Linked DNA regions of Arabidopsis thaliana. The protein of the gene in region 2 interacts with the protein of the main gene of each other region in a pairwise test. Each region holds a gene or a part of one and is shown on either strand. Other genes may lie near its edges. The genes, in order: SWI3B, BRM, SE and TCP5.

Region 1 (5,371 bases), 4.7 Mb from region 2:
CACGTACATATATTAAATAAAACCTAAACAACAAAGCTAACTTTCTATTAATGTGCCTCTTTTTTCCAATCAAACTTAATATTTCATTAATAAAAAAGCTTAACCTAGATAAAAAGAGAAATAGAGGATACATCAAAGGTACAAGGAACCGAACCAACCAACACAACAACCAGCAAAGTGATCGCATAAGAAAAAAAAAAGCTAAAACTTAGCAACAAAGCTCAATTAGAGACATGCAGATAACGAGATAAAGGCTGAACTAAAAAATTCTACCAAAGCAGAAACTAATTATAAAGGCCATCAATAAAGTAGTTATGATAAGTTATTTACCTCTATATATTTTTATTTTTTATATTGGGAAATTGTTTAGAATGCAGTATTAATATGTACATAATATATTATGGTTTATATTTTGAATTTAAGATGTAAATTGATCTTTTTAAAAAGAAAAAATAGAGTTTAAATATTTACGAAGAATGGATATTTACTGAATTTTTAGTTAAATATAAAAGATTTTATATTGTACGAGTTTAATATATAAATAAATTGGGTTTGGTTTCCCGATGGGGAAGAAAGAAAAATACACTCTCTTTGTTTCTAATAAATTGATGTTCTACCACTTTTAACTTGTCCCACAAAAAAAACATTTTCGTTTTTTCTTTATTTTTTTTAAATATCACTCACTCCTTTCTAAATTAGTTATGTTTTAGAAATTAAATTTTGTATTAAATTAGTTATCGTTTTATATTTTCAATGCATGTTTTTGAAAGATTTTCCAAAAGAAATTCTTATTGTTTTGGCTGATTAATTGATGATATGATATTAAATAACACATTAATTAGAGATAAAACAGAAAATTCAATGTTTTTTTAGTTTGTCTGAAAAACCTGAACTAGTAAAGTTCAAGATAAAATGATTGAAATTTGTTAGACTGCTATTGGTTTATAGTTATTGAAAATGTTTAATATAACAAACAATACAGAAATGATTAATTAATGACTGTTTCTTAATATAAAAACCATCACTCTTTTAGCAACAAAGAGAGTAATCATGTTACGGAGATACAAAAAAAACATCGGTAACTTAACAACATTTGAAGATTAACCTATTTAGTGAAAACAAAATCTATCTTTTATATCGGATATCTCCAAAACCCTGACATTTTCTATTGTTTCCAAAAGAGCAAAATTAATTTTTAAAACTTTTCCACTTGTGATTGCCTGATAAAGACAAAAATTATACTTCGACGCAGTTGCCATTTGGTTTTGACTTTTATACCAACCCAGCCTTATTTATACCAATTCGATCTCATCTCATTTTGTTACCAACACATCTCAAGTACACTACAATACAAGTCATCTTCTTAACCAGACAAGAATCAAATAAGAAATAACAGTTTCAAATTAAGTGCGTTCTAACACTCTATTCTATCTTCAGTTTTCCGGGCTTTTCTGGTGTGGAAGAAAATGTTTAATTGATCAACGAAAAGCAGATTCCTCACCTCCTCCAATTGTTTCCGGCTTCTCTCCATTTCCAAATCCAATTTCTCGAAATGAACAATCCTATCTCGGATCTTCTTCATCTGTTAATCCCAAATTTTGTTTGTTCCAACATAAATCATCATTGAGTATAACCATATAATAAAAAGTCTATGGAAAGTTGCAGATTGTTACTAACCTCAACTTCAACAGTCTCTTTGATTGCTCCTTCTACCTCATGCTCTTCCTTCTCAATTAAAGACTTTGCATCTGCCCAAGCTCTTTCAGATTCGTTTCTAGTGGTTTCACCACTCGATGCAGCATTGGCATCTGTGTATCAGGAAAACAAAACTGTCACTATTGGGTTTGGCTTAGGACAGAAATGGACTGCAAATAGAGACAGCTTGGTCTTTGATACCTTGTCGATTTGGGTCTCTACTGGCGTTTTTGTCAGCCTCGTAGTCTACATCAGATAAAGCTCTCACTGCCGCTCGAGCTGCTGCTTCTGCAACATTTGTGCCAGCCAAAGCTGAAAGAAAAGCAGCCTGAAGAGGACATGATAGGATAAATCTTATTCAGAGACAGCCAATGAAGCATAACAATTGAGGTGTGATAACACAGTACAGAATTATCTAACACATATTTGATTCTTAAATGCCTTATATATGTCAACTAGGGTTTGTTATTACTAGATTTCAAAGTAAGCCCCACAAGGTATTCTAGATTTAGGTTCTTTAAGGAGACAAAAACGCAAGTCGTGGAACAGCCTAGTGCAGACACTGGACTATTCTTCAGTAGCCTAACAATGTAAAAGCATTTCCACGCATGTTGAAGACTTATACAAATAAGATTAACATAGAGAGAGAACGCAACTACTCAAATTGTAGTGTCTTTCTAACCTGAGCCATTATTGGGTTGCTTGCATCTGCAAGAGGTGTTAATTTGATCCGCTTGTTGGGAGAAGAACCGTCTTTATCTATTCCTTCAGATTCAGGAATATCAGAGTCCTTGATCTGATCAAACATCTCTAAACCATCCTCAGAGTCAGACTCTTTTACAAACTGTTCCCCAAACGGAAGCTTGACAAACTGAGAAACACAATCCTTCTCCGTTCTACCAATAACATGCGATGCAACCTTCTTCCAATCATCTCCATAGTGCATAACAGCTTCCAGCAGCAGCAGAATTTCCTTATCAGACCACTCTGGCTTTGACTCCTCACTAATCTCAACTCGTTTAAACTCCGAGGAGTTAATACCAACACGATAATTACTACGAACATAGCACCTCGCACACAATGTCAAGTCATACTGAAAACAAAAATGTACATAATCATTCTAAGTGACAAACTCAGTGAATGAAATTATTACTATGGCTACAAATTATGAAATCAAACCTTATCACAGGCGAAACAAGCTATGCTGCAAATTGCTTTGCAGCCATTGCAGTTTCTCTTGGCAGTTTCTTTGACAGTTGTGGCTGGCTCAGAAGCAGCATCTCCGGCGGATTTTCCGGCCTCTTTTTCTTCCCACTTGAGCGGCTTAGCAGAGGCGGAGCTATTATAGTTGATAAGTCCCCATGAATCGAGGAAATCAAAGACGCGACGAATAGAGACAACATCACTGACGAGAGTTCTCCGAACGTCAGTGAAACTAATCTTCCGAGGATGGTCGTCTCTGTACTGCTTAATAATCGAGTTCCTCAAGTAGAGATAAAACTTAGGGTTTTTGGATGAAGATCTCGAATCGAAAAATTCCGGCAGTGACCGGACCTCGCAATCGTTAATGTCGGTCCATGAAAACCAACCTAATTGGTTAAATAGACGGTACAAGTACAAAATCCGTAAGAAACAGTGAAGAAAGTAGAATAAATCAAAGTTTTCTCGGCGTTGCAGACTTACTGGAGTAGCTAGGTACGTGAATATTATCGATATCGGAAGAAGAAGACGGCAATTGAGCCGACTTAGAAGCTGCTGCGGCGCCTCCAGACGTAGTTTCGGAAAGAGAGGGAGTGCTCGGGAGAATTTCCCCAGATCCGCCGGGATCGGGAGCTTTCATGGCCATGACTCTCTGTTTAACTAACGCAACTTCGCCGGAGAAGGAAGAGGGAAAAGAGAATCTAGCTATCGAGATGGGCAAAGTTAAAAAAAAAGTCGGATATCTAAACGGGCCTGGTTTGGGCCCTAATACAGGTCCATTAACCTGGCTTTAGTTGTTAAATATTGCGAATGTTTTTTTAGTCCCATGGTCAGCCAAGATGTAGTGCATCTGCTACGCTAGGCTTAGAGGTTAATTCGAATGGTGAAGTTGTGCGTTACTGATTTCATGTATTAATGGTGAAGTTATCCTTTGTAAGTAGGTAGAAATTGGAACGTATCAAAGAGATATTGGAACATAGTTATGGAAGGAGTAATTGTAGATTGGTCATAAAAGTAATGGTGTCTAAGAAAGTAACAAAAACTCAGAAGTTCATGATGGAAAATATGTTGCACAACTCTTATTCTTGAGTAAAAGATGAAAGAGCGTGTGCAGATAGGAACACTTAACACATGGACCCAAAACACTCATATGCTATTCGTTCCCAGTTTTCAGTCCACAAGCTTAGCTTTGCGGTAGCTCTCAACAGAATCCACAAGTGTTTCCTCCAACGGCCGGTAAGTCCAACCCAACTTCTGCAACTTCTCTGAACTCACCTTCACTTTTCCATCCGCTTCGATGTATCTGATATTGGATAAGTAGAATTTAGATCAAAGGTAAGGTCTAAAAGAAACTTCAGAGACATTGATGTAAAGGTAAGTGACACTGTTTACTGATGAAAGTAACAAAAACAGCTTATTAAGGTTTAAAGGTTTTCACTCAAATTGGGTAGAGAGATGTGCAGCTGTTGTTTGCTTACCTCTTTGGGTAGTTGTAATTTAGATAAAGACTTTTCAGCTTCTCAGCGACTTCTTGTTCCCTAACCGTGTGGCCTATGCAGATGTACCTTCCTTCAGCTTCTGCTTTCTCATAAACCAAAAGTAAAGCTTGAGCCACATCACGCACATCTACCAAATGCCGTTCTTGGTTATTACGCGATTCATAACCCTCTGCACCACACTTAAGTATAAAATCAATACCAACTCATATACCAAGTTGCTGCTTCTAACAATCCCAGATGAAATGAGAGGCTTGTTTATAATACCTTTAAGAAGCTTGAGAAGAACAAGGCTACTAGCATTTACTGTGTGCTGCTGCAATACAGGTCCCAAGACAAGGGTAGGGCAAACACTGACGAGATCAAGTCCGGTTCGTTTTGCAAATTCGAAAGCTTCACTTTCTGCTCGTGTCTTTGACAAAGAATACCAATTCTGCCAGAGGGACGAAAGTCAGATTTAAAAGAAGAAAAAAAAGTGAGATGAGGGATTCAAGATGCATTATTAACCTCAGTTTTTTTGCAATAATCTTGGTCAGACCAAGCGGTCTCATCTAACACTTGACTCTTTGACCACATAGGGTTCATAGCAACTGCAGATACAGAGGAAACATACACAACACGCTTAACTTTTGCTTCAACGCATGCCTTAAGCACATTCAGCGTACCATCCACTGCAGGTGCGATCAAATCTACCTGCAAAACCAGTGAAACCATAGTGAGACAATGCATATAGCCACCAATGAGATTGTAAAAATGAAATCCTCACCTCAGGATTAGGGACTGAAGCAGATGGAACAGGGCAAGCGACATGGAAGACGCCGCTGCAGCCAGCAATAGCAGATTGAAGAGAGCCGTAGTTGAGCAAATCAGCCTTGAAGAGCTTGAGTTTGTCACCAGCTTTATCAAGCTTCTTCAAATGAGCATACTTTTCATTACCTATAACAAGAACCATGCGAAACTCTTCATCAGAACAATAGACA
Region 2 (5,231 bases):
TTAGACAAATGGAGTTTATACCTAGGTGGTCTCTTCCCTCTCCCATATCATCACTTCTGGTTCCCCTTATTGGTTATTCTGACAAAAACTTATCTCAAAACAGGAACCTGGGGATACAACACTGAGAAAGAGAGAGCTGAAGCAGCAGGCATTCCCAGGATTCAGGTTATTGAGCTCTCCACGTTTAGCAATAAGCTTAAATGAGTGCATATACTCATTGGAAAAGAAACAAAGCTTTCCTCTTTATTGTATTCTACGGCATTCAACGGAAACTAAAAACCAAACATGTTTAGGTAAGATTCAGTAAAAGAGTTGAACTTTCAGTACTACCCATTATAGAAGCTTTTCTGTGACCTATAATTCATCCTTAGTAAGATCATTCTTGTTACCATCACCATCTTCGTGATCTTTCCTTTGCTCAGCTTGAAATTTGTCAAAGACATCTTCAAATGGAGGATCTCCAGGTCTTCTAAACTCTTGCTTCCCTATCTTGACCTCGTAAGCTTCTTCTTGGCTCAGCACGAATTCCCTTAGCTAATTGAAAGATATGATTGTGATGTTAGATTTTGACTAATCCACTAAACAAAGTTTTCAGCATTGTGTGTTTTCTGTGGCTTTTACCTCAGTCACAAGCTTCCCATTTTGCATATTGAACATCACTGTGCTTCGATCTACAGCCATGAATCTTACTCCTATCCCTCCTGTTCTTAAAACTTTTGTCCATTTCATAGCAATATCAATCACCACATCCTGATTGAAACATATAAACAGATCACTATTCAATCCCCTGAAGCAACTGGACCCATATCGAATTCAGAGAATTTTGAACAGTAACTGAAACTATAACTTAAGGACCCCAAATTCACGATTCGATTTGGATTTTAGTTTACCTTGGTACGGGGGACGCCTAACCGGAGCTTGACGAAACCGACGACGGTTCCAAAAGTCCGTTTAGCCATTTCCTCTTGGATCTGATCGAATCCCATATTGGTGAAATCCGGAGGCGGATCAAATTCCGGGGTCGTTGCTTTCTTCCCCCACTCTTTCCATGACTCGTCTTCTTCATTGTCTTCAACGTCGTCTAGGTCATCGGAGATCTCGATCCGTCGCTTCGTTGCTTCGGCGATCCGGACAAATCCGTGAAAATTCATAAAAAGAAGGAGGCCAACAAGTAGAATCAGCGAAGAAGAACGAACGATCTTCTCCATCGTTTAACAAATTTATTCAGGAATCAGAAACAGAGGAAGAGAGACTGCATCGGCAACGGCATTTCTATATCAGTAAAGCTTCTACAAACTCGCACACAAGTCACAAAACCATAATAATGTGACTTTTTACTTGTTTCGGGAAAAAAAACTATTAACGACATAAACTGAACCTGCTGGTTCAAAACTGTTCGCCGTTTTTCTATCTTAAAATAGAACTGCGTGCCAACTATTGACGTAAAGATGGCAAGCATATCAAGGCTGAAAGATGAAAACGACACGAGGTTGCACCGTAAATAAAACAAGGGTAATTGTATGATTCTCTCTAATCTACTACTGCACTACAGAAGGTAAAACTAAAAGTCAAAATTTGTCTAATTTTAAATTCAAATTAATTAATCAAGTAAAACAAACATAAGTCTAATTTGATTTCCAAATTTGTTTTTTTTTTTCTTTTTTTGATTTCCAAATTTGTTTATAGTAGTATCATTTTAGTATTCTTATTACCCAATACGGAAACAAATATTTGAAATAAACATGGAAAAATTAAAAGTCATTCCATTTGGTTAACAAAAGGAACGTTTGGTAAATTCACACGTGTCTCATCGTCATTTGTGCAACTGACTTGTATAAGGAAGGGTACTTGTGGTAATAAAAGCGAAAACCGAGGGGTGGCCTCGTGAAACGCATTTTCCGTGTTCCAACTGTATCGAGGCGTGGGACCTACAATCAAAAATAAAATAAAATTAATGCCCCTTCCAAAAAAAAAAAGAAAGAGAAAAAAAAGAAAAAGGGAAGTAAGAAGCCAGCTAGGGTTTGACTGCGAGAAATTTCTGATCTGCGTGAATTTCTCAAAGAGAGGAATCGATCATCGATTCCGTGGATTTCGTTTCCCTCCCTTTTTATTTTTATTTTTCGAGAAGCCATCTCAAAGGATCTGAGTTTATACCGTTGCATCCCCCGCGACTTTCGTTTTCCGATTTCCCCCAAATTCGATGCAAATCTAAGAAGAGAGAGAAATAGAAAGGTGTGTGCGCTTCAACCGACTCAGTGTCTCTCTCTCTCTCTCTCTCTCTCTCTCTCTGTTGCTATTTGAGGTTTTTTCCTTTGCCTCGGGGGCTCTCGCTGTCCGAATTCTTTTGTAGGGATTTATTGGGTAGGGTTTTTCCACTTTTTTTTTGTCTTCTTCTACTAGCTTCGTTGTGCATTGGGTTTAATTGTTTCCAGTGTAGTGACTGTCAGATTCTTCGACCAATTGCATGCAATCTGGAGGCAGTGGCGGAGGGCCCGCTCGGAATCCGGCCATGGGTCCGGCTGGTCGGACTGCTTCCACGTCATCCGCTGCTTCTCCTTCTTCTTCCTCTTCATCTGTGCAGCAGCAGCAACAGCAACAGCAACAGCAGCAACAGCAACAGCAGCTGGCGTCTAGGCAGGTAAAGGATTCTCAAGTCTCTGTTTGGTTCGTTATGACTTAGGAGGGATAAAATGCTTGTTTGTAGTGGCTAATGTTTGTCTGTTAAACTTGCGGCTATTCAATTTTAGTGGGACTTGACTGTTTATCAATTCTGTGTAAAAGGAAAGTAACCAATATCTTTAAATTGAAGTTGTGTAATGGTAGCCACTTGGAGAACATGTTTTGTTCATTTCCACATATATATATAGTTGCTCTGAATTGTGGATTATTGTTCATTTGATTGTTACTAATTATTATCGTGCTTCTGATATGGCAGCAGCAGCAGCAGCACAGAAACTCAGATACAAACGAAAATATGTTTGCATATCAACCTGGTGGGGTTCAGGGAATGATGGGCGGTGGCAACTTTGCTTCGTCTCCGGGCTCTATGCAAATGCCTCAGCAGTCTAGAAATTTTTTTGAGTCTCCTCAGCAACAACAACAACAACAACAACAGGGTTCTTCTACCCAAGAGGGCCAGCAAAATTTTAATCCAATGCAGCAAGCGTATATTCAGTTTGCTATGCAGGCTCAGCATCAAAAAGCACAGCAGCAAGCTAGGATGGGAATGGTGGGTTCATCAAGTGTGGGAAAGGATCAAGATGCACGAATGGGAATGTTGAATATGCAAGACTTGAATCCGTCTAGTCAGCCCCAGGCCTCATCATCGAAGCCATCGGGCGATCAGTTTGCTCGCGGTGAAAGGCAGACTGAATCAAGTTCTCAGCAAAGGAACGAAACAAAATCTCATCCTCAGCAGCAGGTGGGTACCGGACAACTAATGCCTGGAAATATGATAAGGCCAATGCAAGCACCACAGGCTCAGCAGCTTGTCAATAACATGGGAAACAACCAACTCGCATTTGCACAACAGTGGCAGGCAATGCAGGCATGGGCGCGTGAGCGTAATATCGATCTCTCACATCCTGCCAACGCCAGCCAAATGGCACACATCCTTCAGGCAAGAATGGCTGCTCAACAGAAAGCTGGTGAAGGCAATGTGGCCTCACAGTCACCATCTATTCCAATCTCTAGCCAGCCGGCTTCATCTTCGGTTGTTCCAGGTGAGAATTCACCACATGCCAACTCTGCTAGTGATATCTCTGGGCAGTCAGGATCAGCGAAGGCCAGACATGCATTATCTACTGGCTCATTTGCCTCGACTTCCAGTCCCAGAATGGTCAATCCTGCTATGAATCCCTTCTCCGGCCAAGGGAGAGAGAATCCAATGTATCCTCGACATTTAGTTCAGCCTACAAATGGGATGCCCTCAGGAAATCCCCTGCAGACTTCTGCAAATGAGACTCCTGTTTTGGATCAGAATGCATCTACAAAAAAAAGTTTAGGTCCTGCTGAACATTTGCAAATGCAGCAGCCTAGGCAACTGAATACACCGACTCCAAATTTAGTAGCGCCATCTGATACTGGTCCACTCAGTAACTCGTCCCTTCAGAGTGGACAGGGGACCCAACAAGCACAGCAGCGATCAGGATTTACCAAACAGCAACTCCATGTTCTCAAAGCCCAGATACTGGCATTTAGGCGTTTGAAGGTTTTCAGCTCTGACTTTTTCCTTATGTCTTCATTTTTATTGTATGTTTTGCTGGAGATGTATGCCTATAAATAACGTGTCTGCAAGCCAGGTTGAATGTTTTTAATTGCTTTTTTTTGACAGAAAGGGGAAGGTTCTTTGCCTCCGGAGCTTCTTCAAGCTATTTCTCCACCACCGCTTGAACTACAGACGCAGAGGCAAATATCTCCTGCCATAGGGAAAGTTCAGGATAGATCTTCAGACAAAACTGGAGAAGACCAAGCAAGGTCGCTAGAGTGTGGCAAGGAGTCTCAGGCTGCTGCTTCTTCAAATGGACCAATTTTTTCTAAAGAGGAAGATAATGTTGGAGATACAGAAGTAGCTTTGACGACAGGCCACAGCCAATTATTTCAAAACCTGGGAAAAGAAGCTACTTCTACTGACGTGGCTACGAAAGAGGAGCAACAGACTGATGTATTCCCTGTTAAGTCAGACCAAGGAGCAGATTCTAGTACTCAAAAGAATCCTAGAAGTGATTCTACAGCTGATAAGGGAAAGGCTGTTGCATCTGATGGAAGCCAATCTAAGGTTCCTCCACAAGCAAACTCTCCCCAGCCGCCCAAGGATACAGCCTCTGCCAGGAAATATTATGGACCGTTGTTTGATTTTCCCTTTTTCACTCGAAAACTTGACTCTTATGGGTCTGCAACAGCCAATGCCAATAACAATCTCACATTAGCATATGATATTAAAGATCTGATTTGTGAAGAAGGTGCAGAGTTCCTTAGTAAGAAAAGAACAGACAGTTTGAAGAAGATAAATGGTCTGCTAGCAAAAAATTTAGAAAGGAAAAGGATTAGGCCTGATCTTGTTTTACGGCTTCAAATTGAAGAGAAAAAGCTTAGGCTATCTGATCTTCAGTCTCGTGTTAGAGAGGAAGTAGATCGACAACAACAGGAGATAATGTCCATGCCGGATAGGCCGTACCGCAAATTTGTGAGGTTATGCGAACGGCAACGCCTAGAAATGAATAGACAAGTAC
Region 3 (7,235 bases), 7.4 Mb from region 2:
GAATGTGAAGCAGGTGGAGGAGAGTATGACAAATGAGAAACAGATTTCTCGATTAAAGCAAGAGGTTGTTCTGGTGTTGCACTAGTGGACGTGTACAAGGAAGATTCAACTGGAACTTCAGTCTCAGAAAATTTCCTGAGGGCAGTTCCGGTACTCTTAAGAGACTGAACGTATGAAACGTGAGCAGCAGCTAACAAACATCTTCCATCGAGTGCTTGTTGGACGAATTTTTTTCTTTCTCGACATAACTGTAAGGCTTTATCTTCATCTATTCTGGATGTTGATGCACCCATTGTCCAAGCTTACATGCAAAAAAAAGAGTAACATGAGTTAGATTTACAACCTGCAGAACTACTAGAATAGCTTCAAATTCAGAAAAAGAAACTTTAATTAGTGGGGAGTGATCATATGTTAATTAGGACTCACTAACTATTCCGACTAGGAAATTTTCTGTTAAGTGGTTTTGGAGATTCTAATAAATAGGAAGCAGGACGATGGATAGATCCATCCTGCGACATAGGCTTGGTTTAGACCGAGGGAACTGTGTTCTGTATTTTGGGGTTCTATTTCAGTTATTGATTTCAGTAAAATAGTGGTTCTGATTATATTCTAGTGATCCTTAACTCTAACAAAAACAAACACAACAATCACAAAACCACTTCAAAAAAAAAAAAAGTATTAAAGCCTCTCAAGACACTGTATTCTAGGGATCAATGCACTGACCCCTGGCAAGACCCGATCAGAAATAACCAAAACATAACTAGAAGAGAGAATTAAGTAATAGCGAGTCATCTGTTCCACTAAGTTATCTAATGCAAAGGTGTGAGTGAGAGTATCATTGTATTCATGTTGAATATGAGAGAAGAACAGTGCCCTTTATTACCAAATTGCATCATGATATATAAAACAAATGAAAATTACGCATTGCAGGATATTTGCTATTTAGCGAGACATGATCATTCTCTCAAATCTCAAACTCAAATCTCATGCCTCCGTATATAGAAAAAAACAAAGAAATCCCAAGCAAACACAACGAAGATACATAAATTAAATCCAAGGCAACAAATACAAATCAAGCTTATGTTGCTCCCAACACAACACAAATCAATCATACATACCAAATAAAAAAAACCCTCAAAGCAACTATCTATCAACAATTAAAGAACAAATTTCCACTTTGAAATCCTAACACAATCTAACCTATTCTCTTAACTTAGTAACCTGTTCCGCCGTTTAAAGTTCCTCAAGCAAAATCCTTATGGAAAGAGTAAAACTTTCACAGAACCATCGGATAGATGACAAACAATCAGAATCACATAAGAAGGCAACTTTTTCGTAATCGGAATCCCAAAATAGGGCGAGAGAGAATATAAGGAGAGCATAACCAAAGTCATACCGCAGACAAAACACAAAACTGATTGAACAAATTAAGAAGTTTTCTTAGAGTAATCGAAAATCAAAACCTGAAAAGTGCACGAATTTGACAAAAAAGAGAGATTTTTATAGAAAGGTAAAGAAACCCAAATGAAATTGGACCATTAGAGTAGAAGAAAACCTAGAAAAGGTGAGATTTTTCACACAAGTAGAAGAAACAACAGTAAGATGGAGAAACGGTGATACCTAAAGAGATGTCCTTTGAGAGCTTTGGAGTTACGCGAGAGGATCAAACCCAAAAGAAAACAAAACGTCTTCTTCTACAGGAGACGAAGAAGAAGGAGAGAGGTGGTCTGTGTCGTGTGTGAGTCAGCAGCGAATCAGATGGGTAGAGAGAAGAGAGAGAGAGAGAAGAGGAATCTTATGCGAGAGGAGAAAAAGGAGATTGTGTGTGTATGTGTGTGACTACCAACATGCAATAAAGCATTTGCTTGCTTGTAAAGACGATTTTGACGGATGACTCCAAAAACGGTAACTTTCTCTTGCCGTTGTTATTTCTACTCCGGTTACTTTTCTTACACCTTTTTTTTGTTTGTCTTTTTATTTTTTTAAGGATTCATTAGTTTATGATAAACATCCTTAATCTATGGTCTTAGTCAATTGCTTTACAAAACAATTTTGTTACATGTCAACTCACATTTTAGTATTTTACTAATAATCAAATCCATAGACAGATTATGAAAAAATAATCCATAGTGATCCCATAAAAAATAGAAACTAATCTTATCAAATTGACAGAGATACTAAGACTTATTATTGGCTTAATTTACAGAATTGTTTGAAGAATTTTTCTGGAAATGATGGGAAAGAATCTGACTGAAATATTAAAATAGTTTTGCTTCGATGAAATGGAGGAATAGTCAAAGGTGTGGACAAATAATTAACATAGAAATCCAAATACTGTATTTTCATAAAGACGAAGATGGGCCTCTGAGAGTAAGGCCTATTTATGAAGACGAAGATGGGTCTCTGAGAGTAAGGCCCTATTGGAAATAAAGCTCACTGTAACAGTAACAGCAGCAAAACCCGTAAAGGTAGAGGGAGAGACACAGAGGCTTCGAGTGAAATCGTACATTCTCCGATTTAGGGTTCCGAACGAAATGGCCGATGTTAATCTTCCTCCGTCTGATTCCGTCGATAACCGTCTCCCTGAGAAATCAACCTCTTCCTCACCACCTCCTCCACCGCCTTCTTCTTCTCTGCCGCAGCAGGAACAGGAACAAGACCAGCAGCAGCTTCCGCTACGCCGTGAGAGAGATTCACGAGAGCGTCGTGACGAGAGAGACATCGAACGTCCTCCGCCTAATCGCCGTGAACGTGACCGTTCGCCTCTCCCACCGCCTCGTAGGGATTACAAGAGACGTCCTAGCTTGAGTCCTCCGCCACCGTATAGAGATAGGCGACACTCTCCTCCTCAGCGTCGCTCGCCTCCTCAAAAGCGTTATCGGAGGGATGATAATGGCTATGATGGTCGCCGTGGTAGTCCTCGTGGTGGCTATGGACCACCCGATAGAAGGTAATCTTCATTTCTTATGCTTACACTTCAATTGGAATTACATCAGAGTTAATTTGTTACCGATTGAATTATAATTCAAAGTCATATGGGAACTGTGTTTGCATTGTTGCTTAGCTGATAACTGTTGATTATCCTCTTGTATCGATGGTTGTTATATTCCATCGTTTTCGAGATTTCCTAATCTGTACTCAATTTTTACTTTGCATGTTAGATTTGGGTATGACCATGGTGGAGGATATGACCGTGAAATGGGTGGGAGGCCTGGTTATGGTGATGAAAGGCCTCATGGTCGCTTTATGGGTCGCTATCAGGGTGAGACATCTCTGTCTAAGATGTTTTTACAGTTGAGAGAATCAGTATTACCACTTTTTCGTATGATTTCTGTCTTGTGAGACATGTTTAAGATACCTATCATTGGGCGTTCTTATTATTTGTGGACTTCTGTTCATTTGACTAGCTTCGTATATTTCTCTCTGTATGCTGTGGATTGGAAACAAGCGATTTACATTAGAAGATAAGATGTCAATATCTACCTTTTATTGTGTGTTACTTATGGCAGACTGGGAGGGAGGACGTGGAGGTTATGGTGATGCTTCCAACAGTGGAAATCCTCAAAGGTTAAGGTTCCTTCTTCTTTTGTTTTTTAAAATTTTCTTTGTATTTCATGGGTTTGTTGTCTTTTTCCTATGGCGTGTTTATTCTTGGTAGCGTATTTTTAATCAAGTTAGTGTAAACTAAGAGTTGCGAACTGTCTAATGGTGCTCAATGAATGGAGGATACATCCCTTGTAGAATGTTCTTTCTTCGATGAGACATATATGTTTTTTTCCTTATAGCTCCGGAAAGTTAGAGTGAATGTTTGAGAGACACCATTATAGTGGCACACAACTGATGCTGTCTGTATCCTCCCTTGCTGTTGCATTTAACGATACTACCTTTGTAATTCCTTTACCCAGGGATGGATTGATGTCATACAAACAATTTATCCAGGAGTTGGAAGATGATATATTGCCATCTGAAGCTGAACGCAGGTATGATCATTTCTGCTACTTAGTCTTGTTACTTAAGCAATTTAATAATAAAGCTGCGGGTGTAATGCTTTTTTCCTGATGCAGATATCAAGAATACAAGTCAGAGTATATCACAACACAAAAACGTGCCTTTTTTAACACCCACAAAGAGGAAGACTGGTGATTTCACTATCTTTTTTCATCTTTTATATTCTTCTGGGATATTCTGCAAGCTAGCCTAATAACATGTGTATCTATGTTGCGCATCTACCAGGTTGAAAAATAAGTATCATCCAACAAACTTACTATCTGTCATAGAAAGGTGAGTTCAAGAGTCATTTGAAGCAATTTGATTCGGTGTTAGTGCCTGAATAGTGTAATATTAATACTATACATCCTTGATTTTATTATTTTAATTTTCTTTTCATTAAAGAAACTGTTCAACTATAGATATTCCTTTGAAATTTTTCAGGAGGAATGACCTTGCACAGAAGGTGGCAAAGGATTTCTTACTTGATTTACAAAGCGGGACACTAGATTTGTAAGATCATTTCTTTGGCCTTTATTCCACATGTGTGACTGATCACAATTCTGTCATCTCTAACGCTCTCAGTTTCCCTTCTGTTCCAGAGGCCCTGCAGTGACAGCATTGAATAAATCCGGCCGGACCAGTGAGCCTAATTCTGAGGATGAAGCCGCTGGTGTTGGTAAAAGAAAAAGGCATGGTATGGGTGGAGCTAAAGAGAATGAACTTCTTTCAGCCGCACCGAAAGCACCCAGTTTCACCTCTGATCCAAAGAGAATCCTGACTGACGTTGAACAAACACAAGCCCTTGTGCGTAAGCTAGACTCTGAGAAAAAAATTGAGGAAAATGTTTTACAAGGTTCAGAAACTGAAAAATCAGGTAGAGAAAAGTTACACAGTGGTTCTACTGGTCCAGTTGTAATCATAAGGGGGTTGACATCTGTGAAAGGCCTTGAGGGTGTTGAATTACTTGACACGCTTGTTACATATCTATGGCGTGTTCATGGTCTGGACTATTACGGAAAGGTTGAAACAAATGAAGCTAAGGGTTTGCGGCATGTGAGAGCTGAAGGAAAAGTTTCTGATGCAAAAGGAGATGAGAATGAAAGTAAATTCGACTCTCATTGGCAAGAGAGGTTGAAAGGTCAAGATCCCTTGGAAGTGATGGCTGCCAAAGAGAAGATAGATGCTGCCGCTACTGAAGCTTTAGATCCACATGTCCGAAAGATTAGAGATGAGAAGTATGGTTGGAAATATGGTTGTGGAGCCAAGGGCTGCACGAAGCTGTTTCATGCTGCTGAATTTGTGTACAAGCATCTCAAGCTGAAACACACTGAGCTTGTCACAGAGCTGACTACCAAAGTTCGGGAAGAACTGTATTTTCAGAACTATATGAAGTATGTAGGCTTTTTCTCTTGGATTCCTCTACTGTCGTTTCTGACAGGTTCGTAATGAAATTTTTTTGTGCTATTTGCAGTGATCCTAATGCTCCAGGAGGACAACCAGCCACGCAGCAATCTGGCCCGGTACATGATCTTCTTTTGAGATTTAATGGAGTGTTGACTAGTCTGTACTTTTGGGTTATCACTTGTTTAGCTTGGTTTGAGTTTTATTTACGTGGGTTAATTATACTTTCAACAGAGAGATAGACCTATAAGACGTAAACCCAGCATGGAGAACAGACTGAGGGATGATAGAGGTGGACGCAGAGAGCGTGATGGACGTGCTAATGGAAATGACAGAAATGATCGGTCAGAAGATCAACAGAGAGGGGATAATGATGGTGGAAATCCTGGGGAAGTTGGGTATGATGCATTTGGTGGACAAGGTGGTGTTCATGTTCCTCCCTTCTTATCGGATATAAACCCACCACCAATGCTGATGCCTGTTCCTGGTGCTGGGTAGGTTTAATAAAGATTACTCACTCCCTTCATGATCTTGTTTTCAGAATAAATTAGTTACTGTGTTGAATCAATGATCTTAATGTGTCTGAATGATGATGTGGTCAGGCCACTGGGACCATTTGTACCAGCACCACCTGAAGTTGCTATGCAGATGTTCAGGGACCCAAGTGGACCCAACCCTCCTTTTGAAGGTAGCGGGAGAGGTGGACCTGCCCCTTTTCTGTTGTCTCCGGCCTTTAGACAAGATCCTAGACGGCTGCGCAGGTAACGTAGTTCACTCTGTGCTATGAGTCCATTACCCTATGATCAAGAGTGCAGTGTCTCTAAGGTACTAATGTATGAGAAATTTGGTGCAGCTACCAAGACCTAGATGCTCCAGAGGAAGAAGTGACCGTTATTGATTACAGGAGCTTGTAGACAAGACAGGGCTAGAGAGATCCCGAGTTTACTGGTTCGGGTTGGGTTAAAGGGCATCAGTATTAGAAGGCAAAGCTAGCAGATTGTGGCATTTTCTTACCCTTTTGATGTATTATGTCTTGTTCCTCCCAATTTTCACTCACTAAAGCGTAAAATACGCACTCCATACATTTCCTTATTGTTTTTCAAAATTTTTCATGTGCTTTCTTACTAATTCTGTTCGACGATGATTACATAAATAGCATGAGAATTTCTTGTATTGAATAATGCGTTTTATCCACATTGTTTGTTATCAATACTTAAGTCTCCATGGCAGTCTTAAATCTCCATGGCCATTAAATATAATCTGCAGTCAAACGAATGACTATCCACAAGAATCCAGGTTTTTAGGGTTCAATGTAAATAAGAAGGATATATACACTTCAAAGCCTGGCTCAATGCCTACCAGATTCTACACACTTGCGTAGATGACGTGACACTTACACATGTTACAATTACACATAAGGCATTGTATCGTAAATCTAACAACACTAATCACAGACGAGCTCTAATGAGGTTAACAACCATTTTCCAAAGTTTTCTTTTCCAGAGGTTGTTTCTCTCTCTCAACATCATTTGCGTTGCTTCTTTGCTTGAGATTCTGTTTGTAGCTCTCCCTGCAAATGCAAGATACCGTTTAGATACTCTATAAGACAATACATAGACCAAGTAATAGTTCAGGAACAATTATAGGTCGATATGAACCTAATTGATTGCTGTTACTATTACTAATTCAACTATCATTGGCCTTGTAATTATTTAATAACTACTACTTGGAAAAAGAAAAAGAAAAAGGGAGTGTGCCTACAACGATTGAGAGCTGCTCACGGATATAGGCCATTGATCTCAACATGGCACCTAGTGTATCTCGGGACACCTGAAACTTGACCT
Region 4 (4,902 bases), on a different chromosome or scaffold from region 2:
CAGTAACCTATCTATACTTCTAAGTTCGTATCTCTATATATAAAGAATATATAATATATATGCATGGATATATATTTATGTTCTTATGAATACATTTCATAATTAATATGCCCGTACAAATATACGTAGTTATAAGAAAATGAATGATTGTGGACATAAAATTATTTGAAACTTATTGGTGTTTTTCTGACACATGACAAGCAACGACCCCTTCGATTTCTTTCATTTGCATTGTGAACAAACATGACTTTTCTATATACATTATTACATTGGCGGTAAAAATTTGTACTTTTGTAGTTAATTATAGATATATATATCAAAATTAATTTGTAGATACGATTATATCCAATTCAAGTCCTGACTATGTAATCATTGCATAATGATGATTAAGATAGATCATATCATATTTTGATTAAAAAAATTACATAATGTTTTTTCTTAGCAACATTGTGATGCCTATATATATATATATAATGGTGATTGGTGAAATGCTTTGAATCTGGTCATACGATGGTAGAATAGCATATGGGTTTCGATGGACCTATTTGGTTTAAAGTTGAATTAGGGTTATGTTAATACTCTTTTTTTCTTTTTCTTTTTCTGAATCTGTTTTTCCTCCATCCTATTTTGAAAAGTATTATTGTTCTTTGCGTTTTTATTCACTTTCTCACATTCGTGATAACAATAAAAAATTCCATATATGTAAAACCTAAATCCTAACATATGAAATATGATTAACTAATCTAGATTATGGATTAGGATGAAAGTGCTAGCTAGTTATGAGATACCTATATTGTACAATTCATTTATTCGAGTGTATATATTCATAAATGAATAGAGAAAGACATTCAAGTAGAATTCATATAATTTCTTAAGGAAGCAAAAACTACCTTCAAAACTAAAACATATATAGAAATAACAACCATCCTCGCATTATGAATGTCTTTGTTCGAATCTAAATCCGAGACTATTAAAAAGTGTATACATACACGAAGAAGATACATAAACCAATCCAACAATACGCATATATATCAAAATATAGAAGAATACGTATACATATAACATTTTCAATGTATAGTGTAGATATATAAAATCATTCAAGAATCTGATTCATTATCGCTACTATGATGATCCGTATCATGATTCGAGCTCATCAAATGATGAAATGGTCTAATCAAACTCGTATTACCCGGCATCATGTGTTGCTGCGATGCGGTATTTGAATTCGAGCTAAAGAGCTGAAGATGACCGGCTCCATCGACGACATGATGATGATGAGAAGCTCCAAGAAACGAAGGGTATGTCGGGAATAGAGAGCTCATTGCCGGAGGAGTAGGACCGAAAAAAAGCTGAGATCCATCTCCGGCAGACGAGGAAGGAGGATGCAAATTGAGATTATTGTTATTATTAGCAGCAACATTAGATATTGCGACAGTAACGTTATTACCAGATTGGTCTAACGATTGTTGAAGATGTCCAAGGTTGTAATAAGCTGAAGTGTTGTTGTACGGATTGGTCAGAGGAAATTGTTGTTGATGATTGGTGTTAAACCCTTGATGATCTTGATTACTATTCTCGTCGTTTTTGATCCATTTTCCTTTATCAAGATCAAAACTTTCTCTTTGGGTCGTAGTTGTATCGGTTAATCTTGCTCTTGTTCTTGAAGAACCACCAAGATCCCAATTTTCCAAGAACCCGAGATTGGTTCCTGGAAACGTTGTTGATGTAGTTGAAGATGGAGATTCTCCAAACCCGGAGTTTCCGAAGATGAGATTTGGATACATCTGGTTAAATCCATGTGGGAATTGTAGAGGAGGTAGCTTGTCTACGTCATCTTTTGCTGCTTCGAGTAACCAATCAATGACTTTGCTTGGCTGACTCAGCCCTAATCGATCTTGAAGGTCGTAGAGTTGAATAGCTGTAGGTACGGACAACCTTATCCTCCGGTCTCGAAGACCACGGACTGTACATACTTTGCTGTGTCTGTCTTTGCCACCGAATGTTCTTGAGACTCGAACGATTCTTGGATTCCTAAAAGCTGAAGTCCATTGCCTTGAAGATGATACCGAACTCGGCTGTTGTTGTTGCAACATGTGGTTTAAGTTTACTTGATGATTTTGATTTTGATCTCTTTCTTGCTTTGCTTGAATCTCCTCTTCATCACATTCTCCTGATCTCATCTCTTTAATTCACTCAACAAGATCTTCAGTACTCAATTTGGTGTAAAGAACAGATCTGAAACAAGAAGGGAATAAATTGACCAATTTAATAGAAAATAAATCAAGAAGACAAGAATTAGTTGTTGTTAGCTTTCAATTGAATGAAATTGTTGATTTTAAATATGTTTTTGGAGCGAGATTCACATGAAAACAAAGCAATAATATCTCTTTCTTGAGTTTGCATCAAAGAAAAGAAAGCTCATAAGAATTTGAAATTCAAACATGTTGAAGGTTATATGTTCTTACGTTGATTGAATACTGGTAAGCTTGAGTCCTATTTCAAGATCCAGCTTGATAGAGAAGTAGAAGAAGGAGGAAGAAGAAGAATAAGAAAGAGATAAGGAGGCAGAGGAATGTGTAGTATTTCTTTTTTTGGAAACTAGAATTACATATGTATATTATAATGATTGGGGAAGTTAAATAATAAATGAATTAGATATATTTTTAAGTATTATATTCCGATCCCTAGGGCTTTTTTTTTTCGGTATGAAAGGAATTTATGCAGAAGGACAAAAGAGGAGCAATTTATGTAGTGTATTGATACTGTGATGGGAATGTGCATGTTTCGTTACACTCACAGTCACATAAATCTTATATATATAAAACTTTACAATAGTTGACAAAAAAAAAACCTTTACAATAAATTTTAATATATTTTAGTATTCAAGTTTTGGTTCCCTTTCCTTGGTGTTAGACATTCATTTTGAATTTTATATGATTTAATTTTTACCCAAGTTTGTGATCTATGTTGTCTTCTTATCTTAAACAAAAATATAAACATACGGTTAAGGTCATTTAAGAGAAAGTGTACGGTTGACAAATTAATAGTTATAAATGGTAACAAGAGCTTTTAAAGTGAAAAAAAAATATAGTACATGTATAGTAAATTAATAATGGTAAAAGTGGTTTGAACTTTGAACTGTGAAACATATATATATACAAGATCGAGTTTGAAAGTTTTATGAAACCAAATTTTAGTAAATTCAAAAAAATTCATAATATAAACAAATGGAAAGACCAATTTATTTACAGTCGTCGCTCATTTCATTTGAGTTTCTGTCGTTTTGGAAAATGAAAAGTTTTATTTGTAGATAAATTGTTGAATTTCATTATTAACGAAGCAACTTGTTGAAACCCTAAATTTAGTGATAATGAAATGTAGACTTGTTAAAATCAAACTGTTGGGAATACTGCTTTTATTTCTAATTAACTACTTGTGGGTTATATTTTTAAGCATATATAGAAAATATCCATATATATAAATTTTTTGTTTTAATATCAACATATATAAGTAAATATAATAGAGATTGACAGCTAGAGGAGGTAAGGGTCTGTCTCTGAGATAGAGAATGGACCAACGAGTATAGGTTTTTCTTTAAAGCATCTAATGCCTAAATACTCACAAAGAGATTTGTGGTCCACTTCTCTTCTAAGTGTCTTTGCCACTGAGATTTTTGCCCACAATCACAAACCATTTTCTTTCCTCTTTGTATCCAACTTGATCACTACTATATATAAAGTCTTCTGTAATTGACCGCGCCTTTAACCCACACTGGTTGTTTACGAAGAATATTGAGTTACTGCATATATAGTACTGTACGGTTTCAAATTAAGAACTCTGGTTTTGATTATGTAATCTTGAGATGAAATTGACTGTAACAAAGTTACATTTGTAATTTTGCAAGAAAAAGTTTTGTATCAGTTTTTTGGTCCTCACTTAAATATGGGGAAAATATTAAATAAATATGAACCACTTATATATCGTATAATTTTAATGATCATATAAATTGTGGTAACTGTTCATCTCAAATCAAAGGTTCCATGGATTTCTTTTTCCACATCGGTTCCGTAGATTATCCAACACAATTTTAAGGCATTTTAAGATGATCACAACACAATGTCACAGATTATTTTAAGAAGGCGATTGGAAGCCTTCATTAAAGGCATTTCCAAGGATCTTTCCGGATATGGTGGTATATTTTAAACACAAATTATTCTTAGAGCGAGATAGACTTGTACATTTCATTTTTTTGGTACTGTGATAGACATGTACTAACTTTTATATAGATGGTGTCAGTGGTATATTGGTCTAACTAATATATGCTGCAACAATATTAATTATGATGTATGTTCATAAAACTTGTGGTGAAATTTATCACAACAATTTTTTTGTCCCAACAAAGAAGCTTGCCAAACCTACCCGTCGTCTAAAGCAGCCCACTACCAAAGCCGCCTTTAGTCATTGCTTGGTTGGTAACGTCTGTCAAAGCCAAAACCTTAATTTCTTTCAAAATTGATTTAACGTAAATTCAAGCTTAAGGAATAAGCTAGAAACTATTAACAAGATCATATTTTAGGGAATTTTGGGAATGTATGACAGGATTTGGCAACGAATTATGTGAATACAATTAAATTGTTCCTGCCTTTTATATATATACACATAATTTAACTTAATCATCATGTTGACAAAAAAACAACCGAATCATATATAGGGATGGATGATGATGACGACGACGACGACGTGACTTGAGCTTCTTGGCTTAATTTCCTCCGACTTTTGGATCATATATATATAGGATCTTGTGATCATTAGTTGTACAGAAAATACCAAATACGTTAAAATTGTATGTTTGTATACATGTAACATGTATGTATATGTTCGACACTTCTGACTTTAGGCTGA

Evidence for each region.
Region 1: the proteins of BRM (region 2) and SWI3B interact in a two-hybrid assay, tested with the Arabidopsis thaliana proteins (one study listed by BioGRID).
Region 3: the proteins of BRM (region 2) and SE interact in binary tests that used the Arabidopsis thaliana proteins (3 or more experiments, as listed by UniProt).
Region 4: the proteins of BRM (region 2) and TCP5 interact in a two-hybrid assay, tested with the Arabidopsis thaliana proteins (one study listed by BioGRID).

The regions. Positions count from the first base shown.
Region 1 is NC_003071.7:14,227,193-14,232,563, reverse strand, and holds SWI3B (switch subunit 3), read right to left. Parts: upstream 3,593-5,371; 5' UTR 3,542-3,592; coding exon 3,379-3,541; intron 3,285-3,378; coding exon 2,875-3,284; intron 2,789-2,874; coding exon 2,378-2,788; intron 2,024-2,377; coding exon 1,897-2,023; intron 1,809-1,896; coding exon 1,678-1,808; intron 1,583-1,677; coding exon 1,415-1,582; 3' UTR 1,156-1,414; downstream 1-1,155. Other genes in the region: CRL2 (NAD(P)-binding Rossmann-fold superfamily protein), read right to left, coding at 4,066-4,198, 4,374-4,563, 4,659-4,824, 4,899-5,084, 5,158-5,327. UniProt on the Arabidopsis thaliana protein: Component of a multiprotein complex equivalent of the SWI/SNF complex, an ATP-dependent chromatin-remodeling complex, which is required for the positive and negative regulation of gene expression of a large number of genes.
Region 2 is NC_003071.7:18,920,840-18,926,070, forward strand, and holds the start of BRM (transcription regulatory protein SNF2), read left to right. Parts: upstream 1-1,693; 5' UTR 1,694-2,361; intron 2,362-2,437; 5' UTR 2,438-2,464; coding exon 2,465-2,638; intron 2,639-2,935; coding exon 2,936-4,210; intron 4,211-4,333; coding exon 4,334-5,231. Other genes in the region: AT2G45990 (ribosomal RNA small subunit methyltransferase G), read left to right, coding at 1-25, 104-204; AT2G46000 (LDL receptor wingless signaling/trafficking chaperone), read right to left, coding at 355-534, 622-750, 891-1,208. UniProt on the Arabidopsis thaliana protein: ATPase subunit of a multiprotein complex equivalent of the SWI/SNF complex that acts by remodeling the chromatin by catalyzing an ATP-dependent alteration in the structure of nucleosomal DNA.
Region 3 is NC_003071.7:11,570,053-11,577,287, forward strand, and holds SE (C2H2 zinc-finger protein SERRATE (SE)), read left to right. Parts: upstream 1-2,344; 5' UTR 2,345-2,534; coding exon 2,535-2,950; intron 2,951-3,161; coding exon 3,162-3,262; intron 3,263-3,509; coding exon 3,510-3,567; intron 3,568-3,905; coding exon 3,906-3,980; intron 3,981-4,064; coding exon 4,065-4,139; intron 4,140-4,233; coding exon 4,234-4,281; intron 4,282-4,431; coding exon 4,432-4,500; intron 4,501-4,589; coding exon 4,590-5,381; intron 5,382-5,461; coding exon 5,462-5,510; intron 5,511-5,625; coding exon 5,626-5,885; intron 5,886-5,993; coding exon 5,994-6,152; intron 6,153-6,244; coding exon 6,245-6,305; 3' UTR 6,306-6,606; downstream 6,607-7,235. Other genes in the region: AT2G27090 (bZIP transcription factor (DUF630 and DUF632)), read right to left, coding at 1-293; FRS3 (FAR1-related sequence 3), read right to left, coding at 6,917-6,961, 7,153-7,235. UniProt on the Arabidopsis thaliana protein: Acts as a mediator between the cap-binding complex (CBC) and both the pre-mRNA splicing and primary microRNAs (miRNAs) processing machinery.
Region 4 is NC_003076.8:24,534,473-24,539,374, forward strand, and holds TCP5 (TEOSINTE BRANCHED 1, cycloidea and PCF transcription factor 5), read right to left. Parts: upstream 2,773-4,902; 5' UTR 2,466-2,772; intron 2,236-2,465; 5' UTR 2,181-2,235; coding exon 1,098-2,180; 3' UTR 865-1,097; downstream 1-864.